Callithrix jacchus: one gene and its partners. Each later gene encodes a partner of the first gene's protein in a complex. Links are inferred from orthologs where the notes say so. Each region holds a gene or a part of one and is shown in the gene's direction. Other genes may lie near its edges.

Evidence for each region.
Region 2: EIF3I (region 1) and EIF3J share a complex: the UniProt entries of both Homo sapiens proteins name them as parts of the eukaryotic translation initiation factor 3 (eIF-3) complex. The link is inferred for Callithrix jacchus from reciprocal best matches to the Homo sapiens genes EIF3I and EIF3J.
Region 3: EIF3I (region 1) and EIF3L share a complex: the UniProt entries of both Homo sapiens proteins name them as parts of the eukaryotic translation initiation factor 3 (eIF-3) complex. The link is inferred for Callithrix jacchus from reciprocal best matches to the Homo sapiens genes EIF3I and EIF3L.
Region 4: EIF3I (region 1) and EIF3D share a complex: the UniProt entries of both Homo sapiens proteins name them as parts of the eukaryotic translation initiation factor 3 (eIF-3) complex. The link is inferred for Callithrix jacchus from reciprocal best matches to the Homo sapiens genes EIF3I and EIF3D.

The regions. Positions count from the first base shown.
Region 1 is NC_133508.1:68,828,101-68,835,937, forward strand, and holds the start of EIF3I (eukaryotic translation initiation factor 3 subunit I), read left to right. Parts: upstream 1-2,773; 5' UTR 2,774-2,823; coding exon 2,824-2,826; intron 2,827-2,919; coding exon 2,920-3,012; intron 3,013-4,728; coding exon 4,729-4,816; intron 4,817-5,087; coding exon 5,088-5,153; intron 5,154-7,837. Other genes in the region: TMEM234 (transmembrane protein 234), read right to left, coding at 1,524-1,590, 2,247-2,398, 2,692-2,707. UniProt on the Homo sapiens protein: Component of the eukaryotic translation initiation factor 3 (eIF-3) complex, which is required for several steps in the initiation of protein synthesis.
Region 2 is NC_133509.1:32,260,431-32,268,360, forward strand, and holds the start of EIF3J (eukaryotic translation initiation factor 3 subunit J), read left to right. Parts: upstream 1-3,173; 5' UTR 3,174-3,262; coding exon 3,263-3,311; intron 3,312-3,401; coding exon 3,402-3,505; intron 3,506-7,930. UniProt on the Homo sapiens protein: Component of the eukaryotic translation initiation factor 3 (eIF-3) complex, which is required for several steps in the initiation of protein synthesis.
Region 3 is NC_133502.1:208,876,828-208,883,957, forward strand, and holds part of EIF3L (eukaryotic translation initiation factor 3 subunit L), read left to right. Parts: intron 1-107; coding exon 108-279; intron 280-4,316; coding exon 4,317-4,471; intron 4,472-6,223; coding exon 6,224-6,394; intron 6,395-7,130. UniProt on the Homo sapiens protein: Component of the eukaryotic translation initiation factor 3 (eIF-3) complex, which is required for several steps in the initiation of protein synthesis.
Region 4 is NC_133502.1:207,463,883-207,470,343, reverse strand, and holds the end of EIF3D (eukaryotic translation initiation factor 3 subunit D), read left to right. Parts: intron 1-3,077; coding exon 3,078-3,220; intron 3,221-3,606; coding exon 3,607-3,890; intron 3,891-4,297; coding exon 4,298-4,311; 3' UTR 4,312-4,440; downstream 4,441-6,461. UniProt on the Homo sapiens protein: mRNA cap-binding component of the eukaryotic translation initiation factor 3 (eIF-3) complex, a complex required for several steps in the initiation of protein synthesis of a specialized repertoire of mRNAs.

The DNA.
Region 1 (7,837 bases):
AAGATCCTAATATTGTAATGTGATTAAAACTTGGTGAATGGCTGACTTGTAGTCAGCTGGCCAAGAGTTCAGCATTTTTCCACAGCAGTGAATGCATGAGCCCAGAGGCTTTCAAATTCTTTTTTTTTTTTTTTTCAGACAAGAGTTTTGCTCTTGTCGTCCAGGCTGTAGTACACTTGCGGTGATCTCAGCTCACCGCAAGCTCCGCCTCCTGGGTTCAAGCGATTCTCCTGCCTCGGCCTCCGAGTAGCTGGGATTACAGGCATGCACCACCATGCCCAGCTAATATTGTATATATATATTTTTTTAGTAGAGATGGGGTTTCACCATGTTGGCCAGGATGGTATTGATCTCCTGAACTCATGATCTGCCTGCCTTGACCTCCCAAAGTGCTGGGATTACAGGCATGAGCCACCATGCCCGGCCAAGCCACCAAGCCTGGACTGCAACTTCATTTTCTAAGATAAAGGAAATTTATGTATATGGAGCCCTGTGCGCCAGGCACTCTCCTAGATGTTTTTCATTCATTCATTTCTTTTTTTTTTTGAGATGAAGTCTTTCTAGAGATAGAACCAGTAAGTTACAAAGGAAAAAAAAAAGGAGAAAAAAAGATGATGTCTCGCTCTGTCGCCCAGGCTGGAGTGCAATGGCGTGATCTTAGCTCACTGCAACCTCCACCTCCTGGGTTCAGACGATTCTTCTGATTCTTCTGCCTCAGCTTCCTGGTAGTGGGGATCACAGGTGCACCACCACGACGCCTGGCTATTTTTAAAAAATTTTTAGTAGAGATAGGTTTCACCATGTTAGCCAGGCTGATCTTGAACTCCTGACCTTGTGATCCTCCCACCTCAGCCTCCCAAAGTGCTGGGATTAAATTTAATCCTCACAATCCTATGAAACCAACTGTATAAAACCAAAGCTCAGGCTGGGTGTGGTGGCTCACACCTGTAATCCCAGCACTACTAAAAATACAAAAAGAAAAAAAAAAAAAAACCACCTCTACAAAATTACAAAATTAGCTGGGCATGGTGGCGCATGCCTGTAATCCCAGCTACTTGGGAGGCTGAGGCAGGAGAATCACTTGAACCCGGGAGGCGGAGATTGCAGTGAGCTGAGATAGTGCCATTGCACTCCAGCCTGGTCCACAAGAGTGACACTGTCTCAAAAAACAAAAACAAACAAAAAACCAAAGCTCAAATGAGGGACTTGCTCATGGTCAGGCAGGTAGCACAGAGTGGAACCAAGAGTGTGAAAGCCAGCACTTGGCACAGCAGAATGAACCTTCCTTCTTCGTCCGCTGTCACACAAGACTGCCAGGCTTCAAACCAACCCCAGTGCCTAGCAACATACTCAGAACCAGCCCACTGTGCCCTTCTTGTTCAGAGAAGAGGACACTAGGAGGGAACTAAGACTAGTCAGCCCTCTCTGACTGATGGGAATGAGGTGTTTCAAGCTCCACCCAACAAATCACTCTTCCAGGTGGCCTCAAACACTAAGCAGAACAGTTCCAAGCCAGGACCCACCTGTCGATGCCAAGGTGAGGTAATAGAGAAGAGAGCCACACTGGTTGAGGAGAAAGGGCATCAGGTACTGGAAAGAGGAGAAACCTGCATCAGTGTGAAGGCCTGAATGAGCAGCACTGCCTTCTTTGAGCTTCTAGCCTATGCCTTTTCTTAGAGGGAGTGAGGGTTATAAGACCCAGAGAACATTAGGCCCTCTAAGGAGGACCCTTCCAGGACAAAGAGGGAAACAGACTGAACTCTGTGCCTCTGCTCAAACTTCCCTCTCCCTCACCTCTGTTGGTTCCTATCCTGCAAGGCCCTGAGACCAATGTCAGCCCCTCCAGGAAGCCTTCCCCAAGTCCTCCATATACAGCCTCCCTCCTCTGAACTCCTCCCCTGCAGGGCCAATTTGAGCCCCAAGCCCTCCCTCTGGAAAGGCTCACAAATGTTGCCTTTCATAACTGGAGGAATCACAATAATAAAATATGAACAATGGTAGCCATAGATAGAGCACTTACTATGTTCTAGGCCCAATGCTAAGTGCTCTGTGTATCTCACCTAATTCCCGCAACTGCCCTATCAGATGTTTATTATTATAATCGCCATTTACAGATGATGAAACTGAAGGACAAGTGACTCTGGAGAGTTTCTAGTAAGTAGTGGGGCTGACACAGACCTGTTTGACCCCAAAGACCAAATTCTTGGCGGCAACTCCCCTTTGAGAGGGGACTTTCACAGACGCACCTCAATATTCAAGAAGAGGGTCTTCATCTCCTGTAGCAACTGTCGGGCCCAGGTCGGCTCATGAATCCGCTGCAGGCCTGCAGAGGCTCGCTTCAGCAGCGGCTGCGTGCCACCCCACAGAGCGGCCACCAGCACCAGAGCCAGCACCTGCCCTGAATGCAGACGACTGAGTCACCCTGATCCCCACCCCAAACGGCCGCCCCGTCCGCTCCGCCCGCTCCAGGCTTCCTATCCCCAGCTAGCCGACCCCACTTCCCTCCTTCGCTCTCTTAGCTTCGGCTGCGACTGGCGGCTAGGGAAGGCCCCGGGAGGCTGGGGAGATGAATCCAGGAGTCCGGCTCTGGGGTTGTAGCAGGGATTGGGGTTGGAGCGGGGGACGTGGAGCAGGAAATGAATTCGAAGTGAGGGTCGAGAAATCCATGAAGGGGCGGGGCCGGCTACCTACCCAGAGACGCCGCCATGGTAACGCTGCTGTCTTCTACTTCCGGGAGCGAGGGGGCGGAGACCCACAATCCGGAAGTGGTTCCAAAGCCTTTTCCGGTACTACTCACGTTGCGGCCTTCGTGTCATCGCCGGGATGGTGAGTTCCAGAGTTGGGGATACTGCAGTGGGGGTCCTGGTCTGAGGCCGGTACCCAATTCTGGGCACTGACGTTACCGTCTTGTCCCCACAGAAGCCGATCCTGCTGCAGGGCCATGAGCGGTCCATTACGCAGATTAAGTATAACCGCGAAGGAGACCTTCTCTTTACTGTGGCCAAGGACCCTGTGAGCGTCGGCTGAAAGGAGGGCTCGGGAGGGGGCCCGGAAGGGGCGAGTTCCTTATGCCAGGACCTTCCTTAGGAAGATGGGTGGACATGCCAGTTTTGCCGATTGGGGGAATCAAAGAAACGGCCCATTTTGAGATGTAGGGAGAAGACATCCCGGGGGTAGGTTGGGAGAGTACCGGACAAAGTGGGGGAGCACTCGTTTGGCCGAGTGCAGTGGCTCACGCCTGTAATCCCAACACTTTGTGAGGCTGAGGGGAGGATCGCTTGAGCCCAGGAGTTAGAGACCAGCCTGAGCAACATAGTGGGACCCATATCTACACACACAAAAATTAGCCTGATGTGGTGGCTCGAGCATCTGGGCTCAGCTACTTCGAAGTCTGAAACGAGTGGATCACTTGAACCTGGTGAGCTGAGATCGTGCCACTGCACCCCAAGAAAAGCCAGGGACCACTGTGGAAAGGGGATGAGGATGAGGGTCAAGCTTGCCCAGAGAACGGGATGCGACCTTTCAGGGGATGATCTAACCTTTTAACCAGGATAGGTGCAGGATGTGTTATTCAGACACAGGGGATTTAACTGAGGGTGTCTCTACTCTCATTTTCAGTCAATCCCATTCTGCTACTCAATGCAAAACAGTCCCTTGTGATACTGCCTTTTGAGGCACCTCCATATGGAGGAAGTTAACTAGTGGTTAAAAGTGGGGACTCTGAAGTCAGACAGACCTGATGTGAATCCTGCCTCCAACATCTACTACTACTAGCAGTGTGATTTTGAGTATGTTACTTAACCTTTCTAAACTGCAGTTTCCCTTTTTTTTTTTTTTTGAGACAGAGTTTCGCTCTTTTTACCCAGGCTGGAGTGCAATGGCGCGATCTCGGCTCACCGCAACCTCCGCCTCCTGGGTTCAAGCAATTCTCCTGAGTAGCTGGGACTACAGGCGTGCGCCACCATGCCCAGCTAATTTTTTGTATTTTTAGTAGAGACGGGGTTTCACCATGTTGACCAGGATGGTTTCGATCTCTTGACCTCGTGATCCACCCGCCTCGGCCTCCCAAAGCGCTGGGATTACAGGTGTGAGCCACTGCGCCCAGCCTGCAGTTTCCCTTTTTATAAAACTGGATACTTACAGGATTGTCTTTAGCATTAAATGAGATAATGAAAGGAGCTTGGCAGAGCACCTATACATTTCAGTGCCTAATGAATGTTAGTCACTTACATTTTAAATTCCTTAGACATTATTTTATTGGAGCCTCACAGCTACCTATTGAAGAAAAAATTATTGTCCTGGCCATTTTCAAGATGAGAAAACTGAAGTTCAGAGTAGAGAAGCACTGTTTTTGAGATCATACAGTGAAACAGTGGCAGAGCAGGCACTGGAACCCAGTCTTCCCTACTACCAACTGCTCCCACTTAAAGATACTGTTTTTCTAGACTGGAGCTCAACTTGGCCTTTTACTCTTTGGAGCCATTGGGAGTTCCAGGAGAGCTGTGGCTATGAGGATGCTTTTGCAAAGCGCCTGACTTCTCTGGTGCTTATCTTCAGGAAGGGAGGAGAATCCAGGAGTTGGTCTTTTTACCAGCTTCCTGCTATTTCCCAAGAAATGAGGAGAAGAGGGCAGAATCAGCCTGGTTTTGGCTGCTGAGGGTTCTTGGGGCAAAATAGGAAGCCATTGCTTTACTGGGACATGTATCATCCTGTGTTTGACTTTTCCAGATCGTCAATGTATGGTACTCTGTGAATGGTGAGAGGTTGGGCACCTACATGGGCCATACTGGAGCTGTGTGGTGTGTGGACGCTGACTGTATCCTTCTTTTGGGTCTGAATCCGTGCTGCCAGGGTCTGCCAGCAATGGAGAGGCTGAGTTGGAAGTTGGGAGTTGGGGGTGCTGTTGAGGGCCTACAGAATGATATCTCCTACTCCCTGGACTCTTCACTGGTTGAGGAAACATTCAGGACAAGTTCCAGTTCTGGATAAGGAGGTAAGGGGGGAAGAAGGGCTCTTTCGGGCTGAACAGGGAGATGAGAGGACAAGGGCTCAGGTGAACTTTGTCACGCTTCTTAACAACTCTTCAGGGGACACCAAGCATGTCCTCACTGGCTCAGCTGACAACAGCTGTCGTCTCTGGGACTGCGAAACAGGTAATCTGGGTTCATTCACTTTTTTAGCAAATATTGAGGACCTACAGTGTAAACAGGTCCTAGGAAAACAGATGAAATCTATAGATAGTTTTCAGTCTAGGGAATAAGAGACAAGATAATAAGAAAGATGAGAAAAGAAGCCTTACGGTAAGATATACGCCATGATGGAGGAAGCATAGATTACTATGGGAGGCCAGAGCCAGGCAACTGACTCCCTGGAGTGGGGATGGGAGCAGCCTGGGAAGTTTCCTAAGGTAAATCATATGAGCTGGGCTTAAAGGATGAGAAAAGATGTCATCACAGCTGGGCTTGGTAGCTCACACCTGTAATCCCAGCACTTTGGGAGGTGGAGGCGGGCAGATCACCTAAGGTCGGGAGTTCGAGACCAGCCTGACCAACATGGAGAAACCCCGTCTCTAGTAAAAATACAAAATTAAAAAAAAATGAGCCAGGTTCGGTGGCTCACGCCTATAATCCCAGCACTTTGGGAGGCTGAGGTGGGCGGATCACCAGGTCAGGAGTTCAAGACCAGCCTGGCCAACATGGTGAAACCCTGTCTCTACTAATAGAAAAATTAGCTGGGTGTGATGGGGCGCACCTGTAATCCCAGCTACTCAGGAGGCTGAGGCAGGAGAATCACTCAAACCCGGAAGGTGGAGGTTGCAGTGAGATGAGATCGTGCTACTTACACTGCACTCCAGCCTGGGCGACAGAGCAAGACTCCATCTTAAAAAAAAAAAAATTTTTTTTTAGGCTGACTCTGGGCATGCTGCCTATGAGTTAGCCCTGCTCTGCAAGAAGCTTTAAAAAAAAAAAATTCTGGCCAGGCATGGTGGCTCACCCCTGTAATCCAAGCGCTTTGGAAACCAAGGCAGGCAGATCACCTGAGGTTGGGAGTTCAAGACCAGCCTGACCAACATGGTGAAACCCCATCTTTTTCTTTTTTTTTGAGACGGAGTTTTGCTCTCGTTACCCAGGCTGGAGTGCAGTGGAGTGATCTTGGCTCACCGCAACCTCCGCCTCCTGGGTTCAGGCAATTCTCCTGCCTCAGCCTCCCGAGTAGCTGGGACTACAGGCGTGCTCCACCATGCCCAGCTAATTTTTGTATTTTTAGTAGAGACGGGGTTTTACCATGTTGACCAGGATGGTCTTGATCTCTTGACCTCGTGATCCACCCGCCTCAGCCTCCCAAAGTGCTGGGATTATAGGCGTGAGCCACCGTGCCCAGCCGAAACCCCATCTTAAAAAAAAAGAAAAAAAAAATTCTGGAATAGCTGGACCAGACCATGTTCACTTCTCTTTAAAAACAATGAAAATATAAAAATAAGCTGGCACGGTGCCTCATGTCTGTAATCTTAGCACTTTGGTAGGCCGAGGTGGGCAGATCACCTGAACTCAGGAGTTCAAGACCAGCCTAACCAACATGGTAAAACCCCATCTCTACTAAAAAATAAATAAATAAAAATAAAAATAAAACTTAGCTGGGTGTGGTGGTGCATGCCTGTAATCGAAGCTACTCGAGAGGCTGAGGCAGGAGAATCATTTGAACCCGGGAGGTGGAGATTGCAGTGAGCTGGGATCGCACCATTGCACTCTAGCCAGGGCAACAAGAGCGAGACTCTCTCAAAAAAAAAGAAAAAATAGTAAAGATGTCATCACTTTGGCACATGCAGGAGTGAAAGTGTGGAGAGTGTCTGTACAAGTCATCTAATCTAGCTGGAATTCCTGCTTCTTGGTGGAGTGGGGGTAGGGGGGTGATATACATAGTCATGGAAAAGATGAGGCTGGAGAGTCAGGCTAAGGCCAGAACAGGTCTTGAATGCCAAATTCAGGAGTTTGGCTTTGTTCTGTAGAATGTGGCAGGCTGTGGAGGTCCCTGAGCAGGCAAGAGTGTAGGTCTGTTTAGTTTTAGCAAGGTCAGAGAGCAGTGGGAGGTACAGGAAGAGCCAAGACTGAAGACGGGAGCCTGTTAAGGTAGGTTTTTTTGTTTTTTTTTTTTTTTTGAGACGGAGTTTTGTTCTTATTGCCCAGACTGGAGTGCAATGGCGTGATCTTGCTCACTGCGACCTCCACCTCCTGGGATCAAGTGATTTTCCTGCCTCAGCCTCCCAAGTAGCTGGGATTACAGGCATGCACCACCACACCCAGCTAATTTTGTATTTTTATTTATTTATTTATTTTGTTTCTTTTTTTCTGTTATTTCTATCCAGATTCTTTTCAGAACTAATTTTGTATTTTTAGTAAGAGACATGGTTTCTCCATGTTGGTCAGGCTGGTCTTGAACTCCTGACCTCAAGTGATCCGCCCACCTCAGCCTCACAAAGTGGGGGATTACAGGCTTGAGCCACTGTGCCTGGCCTTTTTTTTTTTTTGAGACAGAGTTTTGCTCTGTCACCCAGGCTGGGGAACAATGGTGCTATCTCGACTCATTGCAACCTCTGCCTGTTGGGTTCAAGTGATACTCCTGCCTTAGCTTTCTGAATAGATGGGATTAAAGGCACATGGTGCCACGCCCAGCTAATTCTAATTTTTTTTGTTTCTTTTTTTTGAGACAGAATCTCTCACTCTGTCACCCACGATGGAGTGCAATGGCACAATCTTGGCTTACTGCAACCTCGGGCTCCTGAGTTCAAGCGATTCTCCTGCCTTAGCCTCCCGATAGCTGGGATTACAGACTTGTGACA
Region 2 (7,930 bases), on another chromosome or scaffold:
AGTTAGTGTCTGAAGAATATCTTAGTTTATAGAGTTATTACTCAGCTATTTCCTTTATATAATCCTTTATATATAATCATATATTAGTTTCTAGAATTAGTACCTGAGGTATAACTTACTGCTTACATATACCTAGCTTATATAATCATACTTAATACTTATATCTAGCATACTTAGTTCTATATAATCTTTCTTTTCTTTCTTTTTTTTTTTAATTTAATTTTTTAACAAGAAAAGATGGGGTTTCACCATCATGGCCAGGCTGGTCTTGAACTCCTGACCTCAGGTGATCCACGCACCTCAGCCTCCCAAAGTGCTAGGATTACAGGGGTGAGCCACCACGCCCACCTATATAATCTTTCTATACTCATATAGGTATTGTAGTCAGAGCTGTACTGACATTTAGTACTGATTTATAGAATCCTTCTATATAACCATATAGTAGTTTGTAGTAGGAGGAATGCCTAGAGCAGTCACATAACAGAAGCAGTACATGGGAAAACAGCCAGACCAGGACAAGAACCAAAGACCCAGGGGGTGGCGTCCCTGCCTGAAACGGCATACATTGTATGGCAGGCTTGGAGCAAGAGCCTCTCCTCCTGATAAAGGAGTTGTAGTACCTTGCATCCAGTTCCTGTGGAAAGTAGGCCTCAGGACTGAGAAAATAACTGAGGGAGAACCCCTCTGGTGTGACCAGTCATGGCAGCTGTACACCCTGTCAGTCTTTTCTCACTTCTGTGCTAGCTCAAATCATCCTCCCATAAATATCTTAAGAGAAGAGCACAAGTCTGTCAGCTCCCACTGCATTGGCTTACAGTATCCTTCTATTAGAAATCCTTTGAGGTCTCCAGCCCCCAGAAAAGAAATGTTGTGCATGACACCTGTCACACACAGCCCACCTCCTTGCCTTGGTGACCTAATGGGGGTGGACCCCTTTTCTGTACACGACCCTCTACTACTGTAGAGGCCCCCTACTTCTCACAGCCCACCCCTCTGCCCAAGTGACATAATGGGGTGGCCCCCTCACTTGTGACTCATGTGATTATGTATGCCCTATTACTAAGCCTATAGATGATGACCTCACTCATGACCCTGCCCTCTGCTTGTACCTAATAAATACAGATGCTTCTGGGCATTTGGGACCTCCGCTGATCTCCACTCACAGGTGGCATGGCCCCCAAAGTCCAGATGCTCTTCACCAGTGTCCTGTCTCTTTGCTTCTTGGATCCTGCACCTCAGCACAGCATAAGGGTCACCACGACCCTGTGGGGCCCAACAGCCCTACAGGGGTAACTTTTGTATTTTTAGTAGAGACAGGTTTTCTCCCCATTGGCCAGGCTGGTCTCAAACTCCTGACCTCAGGTGATCCACCCGCTTCGGCCTCCTGAAGTGCTGGGATTACAGGTATGAGACACTGGGCCCGGCCGAAGGACCATCTTTATAAAATGTTTATTTGTAGACTCTGAAAAGATACACCAGAAAAGGGGAACAATGGTTACAGCTAGAAAGAACAGAGTGAAGCGGCTGATAATTGTACCTTGTTGGTTTTTTTTTTTTTGAGACGGAGTTTCGCTTTTGTTACCCAGGATGGCGTGCAATGGCGCGATCTTGGCTCACCGCAACCTCCGCCTTCTGGGTTCAGGCAATTCTCCTGCCTCAGCCTCCTGAGTAGCTGGGATTACAGGTACACACCACCATGCCCAGCTAAATTTTTGTATTTTTAGTAGAGATGGGGTTTCACCTTGTTGACCATGATGGTCTCGATCTTTTGACCTCGTGATCCACCCGCCTCGGCCTCCCAAAGTGCTGGGATTATAGGCTTGAGCCACCGCGCCCGGCAATTTTGGTATTTTTAGTAGAGACGGGGTTTCACCATATTGGTCAGGTTGGTCTGGAACTCCGACCTCAAGTGATCTGCTCGCCTCAGCCTCCAGAAGTGCTGGGATTACAGGCGTGACGCACCGCATCCTGCCCCCGTATCTACCTTTTCATCACACGAATGTTGTACTAAGTTCCTGTATTACATATTTGAAAATAAATTGCGAATACAACAAAACAAAATCCATGAAATGGCTAGCCCTTTAAATTTCTGCGGGGGAGCCCAGTGTGGCCCAAGGGCGGAGTTTAGCCCATCTTGCCCTTTCTGGTTAGTGTACCCGTTCCGTTTATCTCCGACTGCGCCAGTCAGTCAGGTCAGGGACCACTGGAGTTTTTTCTATAGGACACGCACTTGAGCAAATGTCACTTGCTCTCTCCAACTTCAGTTTCGCTAGCGCCTACCTCAGGAAGCCTCCCCTCATCTCCCGGCCCCTGCCGCCGCTAATGTTATCCTTTTACATTCAACCTCATAATGCTGCTTTCTGTTGCAATCACAGTGTCGAAATTTATTCACATGTCTATCTTTGCTACTTGACTGAGGACAAAGATACACCTTATACCTAGCGTAGACTCAGGAGGTCCGAAATTGTTCTGCGAAAGAAAAAAAATGTGCTGGCTTCAAAGGGGCTCACAGGAAGGGAAAAGCCTGGAAGACTGAGACTCTCTTCGATCCCTTCATTACTAACGCAAGGCAAACATGCCAGGGACATGCGGCTCTCCCCTCTAGTTCCTGCATCTACGTCCGACGCCCGCCGTATTGTCTCGGAAGTCCGGCCACAGCCCCCACCGGCGGGCATGGCCTCAGAGCCCTCTTCTGAGTGCGGCATGGGTATTCGCCGGCGGCCATGGACGGTGATCACACTGACGAGAGGGACGGCGCACCCTCGGGTCTGAGCGGGGTAGGCGTTGGCAGGGGAGGGGCGACGAAGACTGGCGAGGTTCAGGCGCCAGGCAAAGGACCGCTCTATTAACTTCCCGGCACTTAGGTTTCCTGCTCGGGGCCGAGAGTCTGCAACCTTTCTCCCCGCTCCACGAAGTCCAGTACTAACCTGCGTCGTAGGGACCTGCACGTCGTACCCAGAATTCCTATGCCCCCTGCGCCCTCTCTCCGCTCCTCCTTGCGCTCCTCCCTGCGGCCTTCCCTCCGCCCCTTCCTGCACCCCTCCATCCGCCCCTCCGCGCCGCCGACCGCGGTCTACGCCCCCTTCTTGCCTGCGCGCGTCGCCGCAGCCTCCTGAGGGGGCGTGGCCTCAGCTCGGCGCCCGGTCAGCCACGGTCCCAGCCTGCTTCGCGCTGGCCAACGAGAGCAAACCCAGTGACTCACCTCCGCGGCGCTAAGTCCTCCCTAGCTCTCCGCCTCATACACGCTCACACCCGGCTCGAGATGGCGGCGGCGGCGGCGGCGGCGGCCGGGGGGGACTCCGACTCCTGGGGTGAGGAGAAGTTCCGGGGGCAGGGCCCGCCCGGGCTGTTGCCGACCCCACGCTGTGGCAGGCACTAACGCGGCTTGCTCTCTTCCGTAGACGCGGACGCATTCTCCGTGGAAGACCCAGTGCGGAAGGTTGGGGGCGGCGGCACTGCCGGCGGGGACCGCTGGGAAGGCGAGGACGAAGACGAGGACGTCAAGGTGGGTGCGGGCTAGGGCAGCGGGGAGCGCAGGAGCGGTTTGACGCTGTCGCTGGCCGACTATGGGCCCTGGGGGGCCGACTATGGGCCCTGGGGCGCCGCCCGGGCCTGCGGGCTGTGGATCCAGCCGCGAGCCTAGGGCCCGGCGATGCTCTCTTTACCTCCGCTTGCCGGCCATGTGGGCCGAAGACTGGCAGCGTGGCCTTCCGGACTCTCTCGCCGGTTGAGGGTCTGCGCTCCGGCCTTTATCTCACCTGCCGGCTGGCGACGAAAAGTGACAGCATCGGCCTGGTCGGCCCACGTGCAAGCTTCGCGGTCCCGAGCCTCTCGCCTGAATGAGACCGGGAAGTTGGGAATTGAGCCCCGTAGCTTATCCATATGGAAAGTTTTGAAACTCGCCTGCTTTTTCGAGCTCAGGTCATCCCAGGGCCAGTAACTCATTTGTGACCCTGACGTCTACTTATACAGTTTGTTCGAGGGATTAAATGAGTGAAATACTGTAGTTGAATTTCAACCTTTTTTCCCCCCACACTGGACAGCTAAAACAGTAAAGTGAAATAACTTTTGGCTCTTCCTTCCCCCACTCTGTGATAAAAAGGATGAACTGAACACTGAGCCCACAGTTAGTGGACAGAAACCTGGGTAGTCCACACCGTGACCCGAAAAATGGGAAAGATGACAGTTACTCATAGACATATGTATGACACCTAAGGAAATATTGAAGGTTTGGTGGTTGTAGTAGATGACTGTCCTGTGGTTTTTGTTGTTGTTTTGTCTATGCCTTGTAGATAATAATTTTTACCTCAGTCGTTTGATTTTGAAAACTCCGAAGGGCTCATTATACAGCATTAAGTGACATTTACTTCTGCGAGTGTTTTGTTTTTTTGTTTCTTTTTTTAACAGTAGTTACAGGTCTCAAGTCCAGAATGTTAAGTTTCTTACTGGGTTCTCAAAATCTTGTTATGTTTGTGCAGATAAAGTTTTGTGTGAAATGGAAAATTTTCTTTTGTGGTTTTGCTTAATTTAGTGAAGTTTTTTCTCCCAATTTATAAGCACTAATGAAGAACGCTACAAATCCTTTGCCTCCGCTGAAAATTTAAGCTAGATAATCACTATGAACTTAATAGGGCTGTTGCTTTGAGTTTTTCCCATTTCTCCCCAGTCAGATGAGGTTGGATGTGTGGATGTCCAACTTATTGACAGCCTAGGTTCAAGAACGTTGTAAGCTTTGCACACATTGAAGTTAATAAATCGACTGATTATTGTTTGAAAGCACTTAGATGCTTTATTTACATGTTGTAGAAACATGGGACTAGACTGTGTTACCAACCTCATTAAAGATAGTAGTTACCCCCCTACATTGTAGCAATTTTCACTTTTGAGTCTTGGGTTCATATTGATCCTTTCATTTTTTTTCCGTGCATATAGGAAGTAACAGTTAAGACGTCTATTATGAAATTTGGGAATAAATTAGCAAATGCAGAGAAAAGATTAGAGATATTAGGAAAGAAGTTGCAGAAAATGAAGTTTTAGTGGAATGGTCTAGACTAATGTCATGGAATAACCTCCCTGGGATTAAGGAATCTAAGTGGTGTTGATCCTGATGAATATAATTCTGATGACTTGCAACAAGTTTGGAGATTTAGAAGTTATAAGGGACCACAAAGATCATCTTGTCCAATTGCTCTTTTAGTCCTAAATTTCTTTTTTTTTTTTAATTTAAGCGAATTGCATCTATCTATCTATCTGTGTCTGTCTATCTATCTAATCCTTTGAGACAAGGTCTTACTCTGTTGCCCAGGCGGGAGTGCAGTGGCTTGATCTCTGCTCACTGCAACCTCCGCCTCCCAGGTTGAAGTGATTTTCCAACCTCAGCCTTCCTAGTAGCTGGGATTACAGGTGTGTGCCACGGTGCCCAGCTAATTTTTGCTTTTTTTTTTTTTTTGTAGAGTCAAGGTTTCGCTGTGTTGCATAGGCTCGTCTCAGATTCCTGAGCTCAAAGTGATCTGCCCGCCTTCACCTTCAAAGTGCTGGGATTACAGATGTGAGCCACTGTGCCTGGCCTATTTATTTCGAGGGGTTATGAGACTGGCTAATTTTTGTGTTTTTGGTAGAGATAGGGTTTCCCGATGTTGCCCAAGCTGGTCTTGAACTTTTGCGCTCAAGTGATCTATCCTCTTAGGCCTCCCAGAGAGCTGGGGTTATAGGCATGAGCCGCCACACCTGGCCATATCACCAAATTTCTGAATTCTTATGTTTTTGTACTTTTTGTGAGGAGCTGCAGACAAGGCTTAGTTTCCATGAGGTCTTCTGTTTATGTCAAAAGTACTTAACCTTTAAAAATACAGGTTTACTGTCATTTGTAATGTCCTGGGAAATGAAAGGAAAACTGATGTCTTTGTTATTATAATTTGCTCCAGCATTTTATTATCATTTAGTAGACCTAGTATTTTGCTGTTCTTGACTTTTCAAATAGCTATCTGGCAGTGGCAGAAGTAGACTTAGGTGAAACTGTACAACTGTTAATATATATGGAGGGAAAAGGCTATACTTTTTCCCAGTTAAAAAGATGAGAACTTGGGAGCAGACTTTTCCATCACCCTGGCTTTATTTACCTTTTTTACCATCCTGATAGTTGTGAAGAGGCAATGGAAAGAATTGTTCACTTGGCATATATGACTCCTTCCCCATTGCTGATATGATATGTAGGATGTGTTGACTGAGAAGGCAGTGAGTACCTACTGGAAGCAAAGACAACATAACTTTTACTCTATTTTACTAGTCTCCCAGCATGTTAGAAGCTACACTTATTCAAAGAGTGCGGCATTTGGAGAAACTTATAGCTATATTCAGCCATCTCAGGCATTTGCTTCTGTAACCTTACAGCATTTCTTTTAAAAGAACATGAAGAGGCTGAGGCAAGAGGATTGCTTGAACCTAGGAGTTTGAAGCCAGCCTGGGCAATGTGGCAAGAGCCCAACACATTTAAAGAGAGAGCGATCCTAAGGAACAGACTTAGTTGAGTCTGTCTCATCCTACTTGTTCACCCTCTGTTAGGATCCTATTCTAATAAATAGTTTAAATCTACCAGATAAGGACATTTTTCAAGTGTTGGAAACAACTTCTGAAGAACAGGATCTGTAATTTTTTTTTTTTTGAGGTGGAGTCTGACTCTGTTGCTAGGCTGGAGTGCAGTGGCGCGTTCTCGACTTACTGCAACCTTTGCCTCCCTGGTTCAAGCAATTCTCTTGCCTCAGCCCCCTGAGCAGCTGGGACTACAGGTGTGTGCCACCATGCCCAGCTAATTTTTGTATTTTTAGTAGAAACGGGGTTTCACCATGTTGGCCAAGATTGTCTTGATCTCCTGATCTCATGATCTGCCCGCCTCAGCCTCCCAAAGTGCTGGGATTACAGGTGTGAGCCACCGCACCTGGCCAACAGGAGCTGTTTTACAGAAATGTGAAATTACTCAGAAGGTGGGCATTTTGCCAGAAAATGGGTATTTTGAAGAGAGTGAGTGTATGTATGTGTGTGTGTAACTTACAGAAAATTTCAAACATGCAGTAGAAACATTTAATAAGTCAGTGACCAATCTTGTTTCCTCTATCCCCATTTTCCTCCTCCAACCAGATTATTTTCAAGAAAATCTCAATCGTATCATTTCATACTCTGCCAGTTTCTTTTCTTTTTTTTTTTTTTTTTTTTTTGAGATGGAGTTTTGCTCTTGTTACCCAGGCTGGAGTGCAGTGGCGCAATCTCGGCTCACTGCAACCTTCGCCTCCTGGGTTCAGGCAATTCTCCTGCCTCAGCCTCCTGAATAGCTGGGATTACTGGCACGTGCCACCGTGCCCAGCTGATTTTTTGTATTTTTAGTAGAGACAGGGTTTCACCATGTTGACCAGGATGGTCTCGATCTCTTGACCTCATGATCCACCCGCCTCGACCTCCCAAAGGGCTGGGATTACAGGCGTGAGCCACCGCGCCCAGCCTACCCTGCCAGTTTCTTTTGTAAGCTAGCAAGTTTTGAGTTAGGAAGCATGTTTGTTATTGATAAATATTTTAGTGTAGTTGTCACACTGGATCATTGTAAATAAATAAACCCCTTGTTCAGTGTTCAGTGTCTTGATACTGTTTAGCCAGGAATTTAAAGCAGATTGATAACTGTCCTGAATATGAGACAGGTAGGCATTGAGATGGACCTCAGCTGAGTGCTGAGCCATTGTAGTATGTTAAAAGCTTAATGAATTGAATTAAATGAAGTAGAATTTACTAAGGCAGGCACCTTGGCTTGTAGACACCATGATCTCATTGCAAAGTTCTAAGTTCTCTCAGAGTAGAACTGCATAGCTTACAGAACATGTTTTTTTTTGTTTTTCAGCAAGGTATTATGCTTTACCTAAATCAAATTATTTAAAGAAAAAAGGAG
Region 3 (7,130 bases), on another chromosome or scaffold:
CACCTCATCCTGTCCAGAGCCAGAGCATTGTGTCCTTTGCAGCACTGTGCACGGGGACGATCACTGTGGGCTCATACCACTACCGTGTGTTTCCTTCCTACTCACAGTTCCAGTCCTTCAGTCAGTACCGCTGCAAGACTGCCAAGAAGTCAGAGGAGGAGATTGACTTCCTTCGTTCCAATCCCAAAATCTGGAATGTTCACAGTGTCCTGAATGTCCTTCATTCCCTAGTAGACAAATCCAACATCAACCGACAGTTGGAGGTATACACAAGCGGAGGTGAGCACAGCAGGCTGACAGCCGCTACCTATGAATTTCCAGCTGCTTGCCATCTGTTCCAAAGGAATAGATACTGCAGGTAGAGCAGGCGAGTCACCACGTCTTAGGCAACGGGCTGTTGACTCTTCCTAGGTGCTTGAGTACGAACAGCAGCAGAGTGTTCATGCTGGGGGCTGTGGGGCTTGGGAGTCTGTTGGCCAAAAAACTGAACCAGCACATTGAGATTTGCATTTGTAAACATTTCTACTGTGTCTGCAGCGCTTTTGTTTAGATAAGCACTTCTCACACGTGTTAGTGTCAGAGCCCATTTTAGCCTGTTAAAATATTGAGAACCCCAAAATGTATATTAAAAAAAAAATGGGGGACTGGGCCCGATGGCTCATGCCTGTAATCCCAACACTTTGGGAGTCTGAGGCGGGAGGATCATAAGGTCAGGAGTTTGAGACCATCCTGGCCAACGTGGTAAAACCCCATCTCTACTAAAAATATAAAAATTAGGCATGGCGGCATGTGCTTGTAATCCCAGCTACTCAGGAGGCTGAGGCAGGAGAATCACTTGAAACCAGGGAGGCGGAGGTTGCAGTTAGCCGAGATCATGCCACTGCACTCCAGCCTGGCAACAGAACAAGACTCCATCTCAAAAAAAAAATTTTTTTTTTCGGCCAGTCATGCTGGCTCACGCCTAGCCTGAGGACTTTGGGAGTCTGAGGAAGGCGGATCACAAGGTCAGGAGTTCAAGACCAGCCTGGCCAACGTGGCAAAACCCTGTCTCTACTTAAAAAATATAAAAATTAGCCAGGTGTGGTGACTCGTGCCTGTAATTCCAGCTGCTTGGGAGATTGAGGAAGAATTGCTGGAACCTGGGAGGTGGAGGTTGCAGTGAGCCAAGATTGCACCATTGCACTCCAACCCAGGACAACACCAAGACTGTCTCAAAAAAAATTTTTTTTTCAGTAAAGAGCGACATTTTTGTAGATCTCTCTGTGGCTGGCTTCATGCAAAATACCTGGCCTCTCATGTCTGCTTCTGCATTCAATCTGTTGCAGTGTGCACTTTGGTTTGAAGCACAGAAAGCTCACGCTTGTAATCCCAACACTTTGGAGGCTGAGGCAGGCGGAGCACATGAGGTCAGGAGTTCAAGAACAGCCTGGCCAACATGGTGAAACCCCATCTTTACTAAAAATATAAAAAATTAGCTGGGTGTGGTGGCGGGTGCCTATAATCCCAGCTACTCGGGAGGCTGAGGCAGGAGAATAGCTTGAACCCAGGAGGCGGAGGTTTCAGTGAGCCAGTCGCACTACTACACTCCAGCCTGGGTGACAGAGTGAGACTCTGTCTGAAAAAAAAAAAAAGATAGGCATATGCAGGTATTAAAAAATGCAAAATCCAAAAGGCTTCTGGTCACAAGCATTTATAGAATACTCACCCTGTACTACTTTGGAATAACCAGTGGCAGTTTCATACACATTAGGTGCAGTGAGGAATCTGAGGCTGTGTTAGTGAACTTTTCCTTCGTTACATATACATATATGTATATATATTTGAGATGGAGTCTCACTCTGTCATCAAGCTGGAGTGCAGTGGCATGATCTCCACTCTCTGCCATCTCCACGTCCTGGGTTTAAGTGATTCTCCTGCCTCAGCCTCCCGAGTAACTGGGAATACAGGCACACGCCGCCACTCCCAGCTCGTTTTTGTATTTTTTCAGCAGAGATGGGGTTTCACGATGTTGGTTCAGTATGGTCTCCATCTCTTGACCTCGTGATCTGCCCCCTCTGCTTCCCAAAGTTCCTGGGATTACAGGCGCGAGCCACCCTGCCTGGCTTTCCTTTGTTATATTAACGTTGTTGATTACTCCTATAATTTGAATGAGTTTCTTAAATCCGTGTCGTCCGCGTGTGGTTTTTTTTTTCCCTCTGAGACAGAGTCTGCTCTTTCAGCCAGGCAGAGTGCAGTGGCATGATCTCAGCTCATTGCAACCTCCATCTCCTGGGCTCAAGTGATTCTTGACAATTTGGTGTCGCTGCCTCATCCTCCCGGGTAGCTGGGATTACAGGCATGCATCACCATGCCCGGCTGATTTTTATATTTTTAGTAGAGACAAGGTTTCACACACTGGTCAGGCTAGTCTCGAATTCCTGTGCTCAAGTGATCTGCCTGCCACAACCTCCCGAAGTGCTGGGATTTGTGTGATTCTTTAAAAAAATACTGGATCACTGAGTTACAAAGATCTTCCAAATGTTGACACATTTTATTACATCTTTTTAAAAAGTCACATTTGTTACTTTGCCACTGATATCAGCTGAACATTTATTCATAAGCTGTAGAGCTTGTAGTGGCAGATAAGAGTTGTTTTTTTGTTTTGTTTTGTTTTTGAGACGGAGTTTCGCTCCTTACCCAGGCTGGAGTGCAGTGGCGCGATCTCGGCTCACCGCAACCTCCGCCTCCTGGGTTCAGGCAATTCTCCCACCTCAGCCTCCTGAGTAGCTGAGATTACAGGCACGAGCCACCATGCCCAGCTAATTTTTTGTGTTTTTAGTAGAGACGGGGTTTCACCATGTTGACCAGGATGGTCTCGATCTCTTGACCTCATGATCCACCCACCTCGGCCTCCCAAAGTGCTGGGATTATAGGCATGAGCCACCGCGCCCGGCCCAAGAGTTTTACAAAATTCCATTTTTGCTTAAAAGCTTGAATTTTTTTTATTTTTAGATGAGGTCTTACTCTGTCATCCAGGCTGAAGTGTGGACCACAGGTGTGCACCACCATACCTGGCTGATTTTTTTTTTTTTTAGTAGAAATAAGTTCTCACTTTGTTTCCCAGGCTGATCTCGAACTCATGGGATTATAGGAGTGAGCCACTGAGCTCAACCTTTGAATTTTTTTATTGTTAGCAAACACTGTCAGTTCTTTTCATTGAGGTGTGACAAGTTTACTTCATTTTTTATTTTTGTGAAAATGTCTGCCAGAGTTGGTATCAGTTATCTCTTTTTTTTGAGATGGAGTCTTGCTCAGGCTTGAGTGGTGCAGTGGCACAATCTCTGCTCACTGCAACCTCTGCTTCCTGGGTTCGAGCGATTCTCCTGCCTCACCCTCTTCAGTAGCTGGGACTATCGGCATGCACCACCACACCCGGCTAATATTCATAGTTTTAGTAGAGACGGGGCTTCACCATGTTGGCCAGGCTGGTCTCAAACTCCAGACCTCAAGTGATCCACTGGCCTCGACTTCCCAAAGTGCTGGGATTACAGGTGTGAGCTGTGCTCAGCTCTTATCAGTTGTTCTTTCAAGTGAAAATGGTACTCCATGAAAAAAGGATTTTTTTCTTTTTCTCTCTCTTTTTTTTTTTTTTTTCTTTTTTGAACAGGGTCTCTCTCTGTCACCCAGGCCAGAATGCAATAGCCCTTTTATAGCTCTCTGTCTCCAAAAAGTACAAACTCTGGTTATTCAGATGTGGTACCTGGGCTAAGTACATCCTCCCACCTCAGCCTCCCAAGTAGCTGGGATTACAGGCGCAAGCCACCATGCCTGGCTAAGGACAAGTTCTTCTAGTGCCAGTGCATAGCAAGGAACAGTATAATGACTATTGGTACAATTTGGTGTCACTGTCTGATTTGTGCTTAAGTTGAAAGTAGTTTTACCTAGCTGATATTGCATCATGCAGATGTCAACTCAGTGGGAAGGGCTAATAGCATCTTAGTGTTATTAGGAAAATAGCTTTGCCCTTGTGTACACCTGAAGGGAGGGGTCTTGGTGGGTATATGTTACTGAGGAGGGGGGCCTTCTCATGTGTTGGGACCAAAAATAAAAAATAAAAAGCAAAATGAACTGCCACCCTGAAGGCAACTATTGGTAAATTTAAGTAGCATAAGGTTGGTTTTGCTGTTTCTTGGTATTCCTTTGAAGTTATTCCCAACCGAGGGAAGCTTTCAAGGCTGGCAGCTGCTGAGATATCTGCTGAGTAACATTCATAGGTCAGGTCTGCCTTCCTTTACTTTCCTCCTACCAGAGTATTCACGGTGTCCTGTCTCTTTCAGGTGACCCCGAGAGTGTGGCTGGGGAGTATGGGCGGCACTCCCTCTACAAGATGCTTGGTTACTTCAGCCTGGTGGGGCTTCTCCGCCTGCACTCCCTGTTGGGGGATTACTACCAGGCCATCAAGGTGCTGGAGAACATCGAACTGAACAAAAAGGTGATGCGTACTGCCTCTGGCCCCTCTTGTCGGAGCCAGAATGTCTATTTCTAGAGAACCACTCTGCTCTCTTAGGACAGATTTCTAGGAGAGGAGAGGACTCTTCCCTCAGGCCATTGAAAGTTGAGACTAAGCTGAGCATGGTGGCTCATGCCTGTAATTCCAACACTTTGGAAGGCCAAGGCGGGCAGATCACAAGGTCAGGAGCTGGAGACCAGCCTGTCCAACATGGTGAAACTCAGTTTCTACTAAAAAATGCAAAAGTTAGGCCGGGTCCAGTGGCTCTTGCCTGTAATCCCAGCACTTTGGGAGGCTGAGGCAGGCGAATCATGAGGTCAGGTATTTGAGCCTAGCCCGTCAAACATGGTGAAACCCGGTCTCTACTAAAAATACAGAAAATTAGCTGGGTATGGTGGCGGGCACTTGTAATCTCAGCGACTCTGGAGGCTGAGGCATGAGAATCACTTGAACCCAGAAGGTGGAGGTTGCGGTGAGCTGAGATCGTGCTACTGTACTCCAGCCTGGGTGACAGAGTGACACTTTGTCTCAAAAAAAGAAAAAAATTGAGACTACAACTGGGCAAATGAGTGGTAAAAAGCTGTACCTGGACGATATCGGTAGTAAATGACAGTTTTTTATTCTGTTTTTTTTTTTTTGAGATGGAGTTTCACTCTTGTTACCCAGGCTGGAGTGCAATGGCGCGATCTCGGCTCACCACAACCTCCGCCTCCTGGGTTCAGGCAATTCTCCTTGCCTCAGCCTCCTGAGTAGCTGGGATTACAGGCACGCGCCACCATGCCCAGCTAATTTTTTGTATCTTTAGTAGAGACGGGGTTTCACCATTTTAACCAGGATGGTCTTGATCTGTTGACCTCATGATCCACCCGCCTTGGCCTCCCAAAGTGCTGGGATTACAGGCTTGAGCCACCCGGCCCTATTCTGTTTTCAAAATGGAATGATAGTGGCAGCTTTTTACTCTTCACATTTTGCTGATCTTTGAATTAGGAAGACTGGGTGTGGCTTCTCACGCCCTTAATCCCAGCACTTTGGGAGGCTGAGGCACGTGGATCACTTGAGGTCAGGAGCTCGAGACCAGCCTAGCCAACATGGCAAAACTCTGTCTCTACTAAAAATACAAAAAAAATTAGCTGGGCTTGGTGGCAGGCACCTGTAATCCCAGCTACTCAGGAGGCTGAGGTAGGAGAATCACTTGAACCCAGGAGGCAGAGGTTGCGATGAGCTGAGATTGCTCCATTGCACTGCAGCCTAAGTGATAAAGCAAGACTCTTTCTCAAAAAAAGAATAAAGAAAAAATTTAATTCTTAGATAGTATGTTCACTGATTAGCTGTTGTGTTCTTCCTATCACAGAACAGTATTACAGATACTTACTATTTGGTGGTGGGCTCATGTGCATGTATGTGTTTCTGTCTTAACTGTCTGTTCCTTTATAGGACTTACTTGAAAAAGCAAGGAAAAACAACAAAACTGAGAGGTATAGCATTTTAGAGCTCAAAGAGATTTTATGGATTCCTCATCCAGAACCTTCTTGTTACAGCTAAGAAAATGGATTCCTCAAAACATACAACTTAATTTGTGAATAGGAAGATCCATTCTCAAACTCTGGGACTCCAGAGCTTCCTCTGGGTAGTTCAGGGCCTCTGCGGGGAAAGCTTTTCTCTTGGTGTTTCTGCCTCTGGTTCTGTCCAGGATGAATTGGCACTCATGGATGTTTGTTCCATCTCCTTCTGCAGAGTATGTATTCCCGTGTTCCAGAGTGCCAGGTCACCACGTACTATTATGTTGGATTTGCATATTTGATGATGCGTCGCTACCAGGATGCCATCCGGGTCTTTGCCAACATCCTCCTCTATATCCAGAGGACCAAGAGCATGTTCCAGAGGACCACATATAAGTATGAGATGGTAAGGGGCACTCTGCCTGCCACTAGTGGCCTTTCTACTCGGCTGACTCCTTGGCATCTATGCCAACCATTCTTGGTAAAGACCATCCAAAATACAGTTTTAATTAAGCCAGGAGTTAAGGCTGTAGAGCACTCTATACGATTGTGCCTACCAATGGATCACCCACCTGGAGTGCAGTGGCGCAGTCACAGCTCACTTCAGCCTCAACCTCCTGGGATCAGGTGATCCTCCTACCTCGGCCCTCCAAGTAGCTGGGGCTACAGCCACATACAACCACACCAGATAATTTTTCTTTTTTTTTTTCCCAAAGTGATACATATATTTTTGAGACGAATTCTCTTTCTGTTGCTCAGGCTGGAGCACAGTGGCGTGATCTCAGCTCACTGTAACCTCCACCTCCTGGGTTCAAGTGATGATCCAGCCTCAGCCTCCTGAGTAGCTGGGACTTATATTTGTGTATGTAAACAGAAAAGATACAATAAAAGTACGGCATTATGATCTTGTAGGGTCAGCATCCTATATGTGGCCCTTGGCCCGTGGTTGACTAAAACGTTGTTGCGTGGCACGTGCACATGTAGGCATCAAGGTTGCATCAAACGTTTTGGGTAACTTGATCCTAACTGGTGTAAAAGGACTGACCTGCTAGTGATGTGTGGGGCAAACTGGAGACACTAAGAGGTACTAGTAAGGAATCCAGAAGATGGCTAAGGAGGATTTGGAGCTAGGATGGAAGTTC
Region 4 (6,461 bases), on another chromosome or scaffold:
CAGTTTTCCTGTAAGTCTGGCCGCTCTTCTTTCTGACCTCTTCATTCATTTACTGAGCCTTCAATCTTTTGATACCCTTTTTCCCAATTCCTCCACTTCTTAAACTCACAGATTCTAAGATCTGGCTCAGAATTGACTCTTCAGGGGCACCTTGAAAGAAACATGCTTCCTTCAATTTTCCTCCTCTTTCCATTCCCCCCTCCTCATGCTCTTGCTCCATGGTAGGAGGGCCGTTATCCTGTCTCAAGTCACCCAGCCTTACGTGCCACATCAGAATTGAAGTAGGTGGCAGTGCTCTTGGGTGCTCTAAAGGGCACTCTGGGAAGGGCAGCTCCAAGGCCCAGCCTGTGTTGGATAAGTCTTTCTGAGATGTAGTGCAGGGGGCCATTCCGTTCAGCCTGTCTTAGAGCCAAGGGAGTAGCATGGACTGCTGCTGAGTCTCATCCCCAGGGGTTTCTTACCCCCCATCACCTGTTGACAGAGTACACTGGAAGGTTTGTTGAGACCTGGCTCTGGGGCCTGTGGCCTTTTCTTGTACTTTTCCCGGTGAGCTCCCCACAGCATTCGGGGTCGTCGTTCCGTGTCGCTTTGCCCTCCGTGTTACTGTGCCCTCCGTGTTACTGTGCTGCTCGTGTCTCAGCCGTTTCTCTGTTCCCTTCGCGTGCTGTCTTTGCTGGCACCCCTCCTTGATCCCAGTGGAGTCAGCTGTACAGCTCCCTTTGCCATAAGTACCTCTTTGTTACACAGCTTTGTATTGATTTTCTTTTGCTCTATGACAAATTAACAGAAACTTAGTGATCTAACAGTGCCGATTTGTTAGCTCACGTTTTATAGGCTAGAATTTATAGGGCTGTGTGCTTGGTTCTTGTATTAGTCCATTCTCACACTGCTATAAAGAAATGCCTGAGAGTGGGTAATTTATAAAGAGGTTGAATTGGCTCACAGTTCTGCAGGCTGTACCGGAAGCATGGCTGTGGAGGCCTCAGGAACTTGCCATGGTGACAGAAAGCAAAGGAGAGGCAGGCACATCTACCATGGCCAGGGCAGGAGAAAGAGAGAGGCGGAAGTTGCTATACACTTTTAAACAACCAGACCTCTCGAGAACTCTACCACGAGACCAGCACCAAAGGGGGAAATCCGCCCCCGTGATCCAGTCCCCTCCTGCCATGCTTCTCCTCCAACATTGGGGATTACAGTTTGATAAGAGATTTGGGTGGGGACACAAATCCAAACAAGGCAGAAATCACAGTATCAGGAAAACTGAGTTCTCATCTAAAGGTTCTGGAAGAAAAGCCACTTCCAAGCCCATTCTCGTGCTTCAGGTCTCTGGCTTTCTCTGTGTCTGACCTTTACACCTAAATTTAAGAGACTCATACAGGCCAGGCGTGATAGCTCATGCATATAATCACAACACGTTGGGAGTCCAAGGCGGGTCAGTCACTTGAGGTCGGGTGTTCAAGACCAGCCTGACCAACATGGAGAAACCCCATCTCTACCAAAAATACAAAATTAGCCAGACTTTGGTGGCACATGCCTGTAATCTCATAGAGTTAGGTGAGGCCCAGCCAGGTAGTGTATATTAAGGTTAACTGATTTGGGGCCTTACATCTGCACAATCCCTTTTGACATAAAAGGTAGCATAATCATGAGGGTAATATTTGATCCTAGCCATAGGTTCTGCCCACAGTCAAGGGGAGGAGATTCTGTAAGGGCAAGGGTCACTGGGGGTCATTTTAGAATTCTGCCCACCACAAGCTTCAACTATAAACTCGTTGAAAATAATTTCTCAAATCTCCTCTAATTTATTAGACTTCCCATTGTTGTTCTGCTAAAACACCTTCCCCTTCCATTTGTCCTCAGTCTCATCATTGCCTCTGGGTCCGCTGTCCATCAACGTTGTCTTTCTCCTACCTAAGCTCTGAGCCTCCAACATCTCCAGCTCCTTTTTTACATTCTTCTGTTTCGGTGTTAGCAAAGTAGAATGCTTTGCTGTCTTCTGACTCAGTCCTGGATTTCACTGACCATCACCCTAGTTCAGGGCCCCATTCATCATGCCTGTTTGGCATTTGTCTCCTAACTGACCTCTCTACCGCCACCCAACTTCTATATTTGATTTATCTCTGCCAATCATTTGTCCAGTACACAGCTTCATCAGCAGTGCAGATTGGTAGAAGGACTCTCTAAAGTGCTTCAGCAAGCTGCATGCAGTGGTATGCACTTACAGTCCCAGCTACTCGGGAGGCTGAGGTGGGAGGATAGCGCTGAGGTGACATCGTGAAACCCCATCTCAAAAAACTGCCACAGCAAACTCACAGGGGTGCTGCAGGATATTTTAAATTTTTTAGGGAAACATAGAGACGTCTTGTCAGAGTACTACTATGTGGTTCGAACCTAGCTAAATAAAAGGAATTCTTGAGTATTTCTTTTGCCCTGTGGTTGCCATGAACCAAGGAAGTTTGGGAATCTCTGTCCTGTGACCTTTGACCAGTCATTTCACTCTGGGTTCAATTTCCCACGTCTAAATGATATGGGTAGAAAAGAGGATCTCTCTGGGGTCCCTTTCTACTGTGTGTGTGTATAAAATGTCAGGCTCAGCTTTGCACCCTCTGCGGGCTGCCACCCCCATCTAAGGCCGACTCCACCTATCTTTCCTATCCCAACATGCCTCTCAGATCAGGGCCTCCTGTCTGCAGCTGCACTTTTGCCAATATTCTCCATTTGGCTCACTGTTACACATCCTCTGTGAAGCCCTTCCTTACTATGCAACACAGAGTAAAACCTCTGCTGTTCATATGGCACTTCTAAAGTGCATGCCTATGTCCGTGTGTCCATCATTACCTGTCTAGGTGAGCTTTTAGAAGACAGGAATTGTAAGTTGTTGAGTGCCTGCTATGTGACAGGCTGTGCAAGGGAAGGGACCAGGTCTTTGTCTCTTAAATGATAACAGCCTGGTTTAGTGTGTACCTACCCACTTCCTAAGCAAGCAGACAGGGGAGTTCCTTCTCTGCCAGAGGAGGTCCCAGCGCCTTGAGCATTCGGAGCTCGCTTCTGCTTCTCTAACTGGGGCTCTCCTGCAGCACTGTAACGGCGTTGACTGGCGTCAGAAGCTGGACTCTCAGCGAGGGGCCGTCATTGCCACGGAGCTGAAGAACAACAGCTACAAGTTGGCCCGGTGGACCTGCTGTGCTTTGCTGGCTGGATCTGAGTACCTTAAGCTTGGGTGAGATCGCTGTGCAGGAGCTGGGAGCTGATCTTGTGAAAGGACGGCTCTGGGTAGAGAGGTGACCCTCCCCTCCCCATGTACTGGAAAACTGATTGGCAGAGATAGACACAGGGGTTGGGAAAACTGATTGGCAGAGATAGACACAGGGGTTGGGTAGAGATGGAGGGGTCAGTTAGGAGGCAAATGCCAAACAACAGGCATGCTGAGTGGAGTCCTGAACTAGGCACTGGTGTCAGTGAAATCCAGAACTGAACCAGAGACTGAGTTTTCCATTTCCCTTGAAAATAGCAGTGGACCAGGTATCACCACTTAATTGACATTGGAGCCCAAGTGTTGCTGTCTCTGTGCCGCCTTGCTCTGACCACTGATATCCCTTCCCCCAGTTATGTGTCTCGGTACCATGTGAAAGACTCCTCACGCCACGTCATCCTGGGTACCCAGCAGTTCAAGCCTAATGAGTTTGCCAGCCAGATCAACCTGAGCGTGGAGAATGCCTGGGGCATCCTGCGCTGCGTTATCGACATCTGCATGAAGCTGGAGGAGGGCAAATACCTCATCCTCAAGGACCCCAACAAACAGGTCATCCGCGTCTACAGCCTCCCCGATGGCACCTTCAGCTCTGATGAAGACGAGGAGGAAGAGGAGGAGGAGGAAGAGGAAGAAGAAGGTGTGCAGCAACCCACTTTCTGAGGTCTAGAGTGGTCTGTGAGCTAGTGAGGGAGCAAGCTCTGTGGCCATTGTGATCTTTAACCTTGATAAAAACTGAGAATTCCAAGGCTTACATAGGGAGAAGCATTCACTTTGGCTCCAAGAGCTTCTTCCGGAGCCTTCAGATCACATTAAGTGGTTGGGGAGGATAGTGGTGTTTTAGAGAAGTGGCCGGATTGCGGCAGAGGTGGAGAAAGATGATGCAAGTCCCTGATGGAAGCCGGTGGTCTAGAGGGAAAAGGTCCTCTTCGGGTTAGTTATATAGCCTCAAAGTTGTCTCTCCTGCTCCACCAGCTGGTGACCAAAGGAAAGTGAACGGCGTATCCCACAACTTGGCTCATTTCTCTTACATTTTTTGTCTTTCAGAGGAAGAAACTTAAACCAGTGACGTGGAGCTGGAGTTTGTCCTTCCACCCAGACTTCGATGGCCTTTGATGCGTAGTGGAATGTTGTCTAACTTGCTCTCTGACGTTTAGCAGATGAAATAAAATATACATGTTTAGTCTCTCCTTCATCGCATGCCTGCAGTAACAATTTCCAGTCCTTTCTTCAAAGATTCCTGGCAGAGTGCGGATGAGATCCCGCAATTTCCATCCGGAATTCAGAATCTGGGTGTCATCATTTGTTATAAGAAGCCCATTTCCACAAGCAGGAGTGCCTGCTGGCCGTGTGCGAGAGCCTGCTGTTGCTTTTGGAGAGTTCGCTGGAGGAACTGGAGTGCAGAGCACTAGTACAATGCGAAGCAGAGCATGGATGAGGTGGTCTGCTGCGGGGAGCTTGATGGATGTCCAATCATGGATAATGATTGTAATGGCTTGTAAGTTGATTTTTTGTTTGCTTGAGGTGGAGTGTCATGCTCTTGCCCAGGCTGGAGTGCAGTGGCACGGTCTCAGCTCACTGCAACCTCCACCTCCCGGGTTCAAGCAATTCTCCTGCCTCAGTCTCCTGAGTAGCTGGGACTACAAGCACACGCCCATGCCTGGCTAATTTTGTATTTTTAGTAGAAACGGGGTTTCACCATATTGGTCAGGGTAGTCTCAAACTTCGTGACCTCAAGCAATTCACCCACCTTGGCCTCCCAAAATACTGGGATTACAGGCGTGAGCCACCGTGCCTGGCCAGGATGTGTAAACTTTTATATAGTGGACACTGTTCTGTTCTGGACACTTTATGGAGTAATTACCCTGTCAGGTATTATGCTGAGCTTTCTGTAGTAGCTAAGCCTCATGCAGAACTGTACTGCTGGCAGGAGTAATACCATTAAATTATAGAGGTGGGGAAACAGCTGGGCGTGGTGGCTCAAGCCTCTAATCCCCAGCACTTTGGGAAGCTGAGGCAGAAGGATCAATTTAGCTCAGGAGTTTGAGACCAGCCTGGGTAACATAAGGAGAACAGGGCCTGTCTCTACAAAAAAATAAAATACTAGCTAGTCATAGTGCTTCCACCTGTGGTCCCAGCTACTCAGGAGACTGAGGTGGGATTGTTTGAGCCCAGGAGTAAGGCTGCAGCGAGCTATGATCACACCACTACACTCCAGCCTGAGTGACAGAAGGAGACCCTTTATCCAAAAAAAAAAAAACAAAAACGCCAGGTGCAGTGGCTCTTGCCTGTAATCCCAATACTTTGGGAGGCTGAGGCAGGCAGATCACCTGAGGTCAGGAGTTTAAGACCAGGCTGAGCAACATAGCAAAACTCCGTCTCTACTAAAAATACAAAAATCAGTCAGGCAGCCAGGCATTGTGGCTCATGCCCTTAATCCCAATACTTTAGGAGGCAGAAGGGGGCTGATCACAAGGTCAGGCGTTCGAGACCAGCCTGGCCAATATGTGAAACTCCATCTCTACTAAAAATACAAAATAGTTAACCAGGGGTGGTGGCAGGTGCCTGTAATCCTAGCTACTCAAAAGACTGAGGCAAGAGAATTGCTTGAACCTGGGAGGCAGAGGTTGTAGTAAACCAAGATTGCGCTACTGTACTCCAGCCTGGGCAACAGAGTGAGTGAGACTCCAGCTCAAAAAAAAAAAAAAAAAAAACTGCTTGTAATTCCAGCTACTTGAGAGGCTGAGGCCATAGAATCACTTGAACCCCGGAGGTGTAGGTTGCAGCGAACCGAGATCACACCACTGCTCTCCAGACTGGGTGACAGAGGTTGTCTCAAAAAAAGCTCAGCATTTCTTTTGTTTTGTGTTTTGTTTTGAGACAGAGTTTCACTCTGTCACCCAGGCTGGAGTGCACTGGTGCGATCTCGGCTCACTGCAACCTCCCCCTCCTGGGTTCGAGCGATTCTCCTGCCCCAGCCTCCTGAGTAGCTGAGATTACAGATGCTCACCACCACACCCAGCCAATTTTTGTATGTTTAGTAGAGATGGGGTTTCACCATGTTGACCAGGCTGGTCTTGAACTCCTGACCTCAGGTGATCCACCCACCTAGGCCTCCCAAAGTGCTGGGATTACAGGCATGAGTCACCAAGCCCGGCCCAAAACTCAGCATTTCTAAAGTTACGTGTGTGTTTGTGTGTTTCTGTTTTTA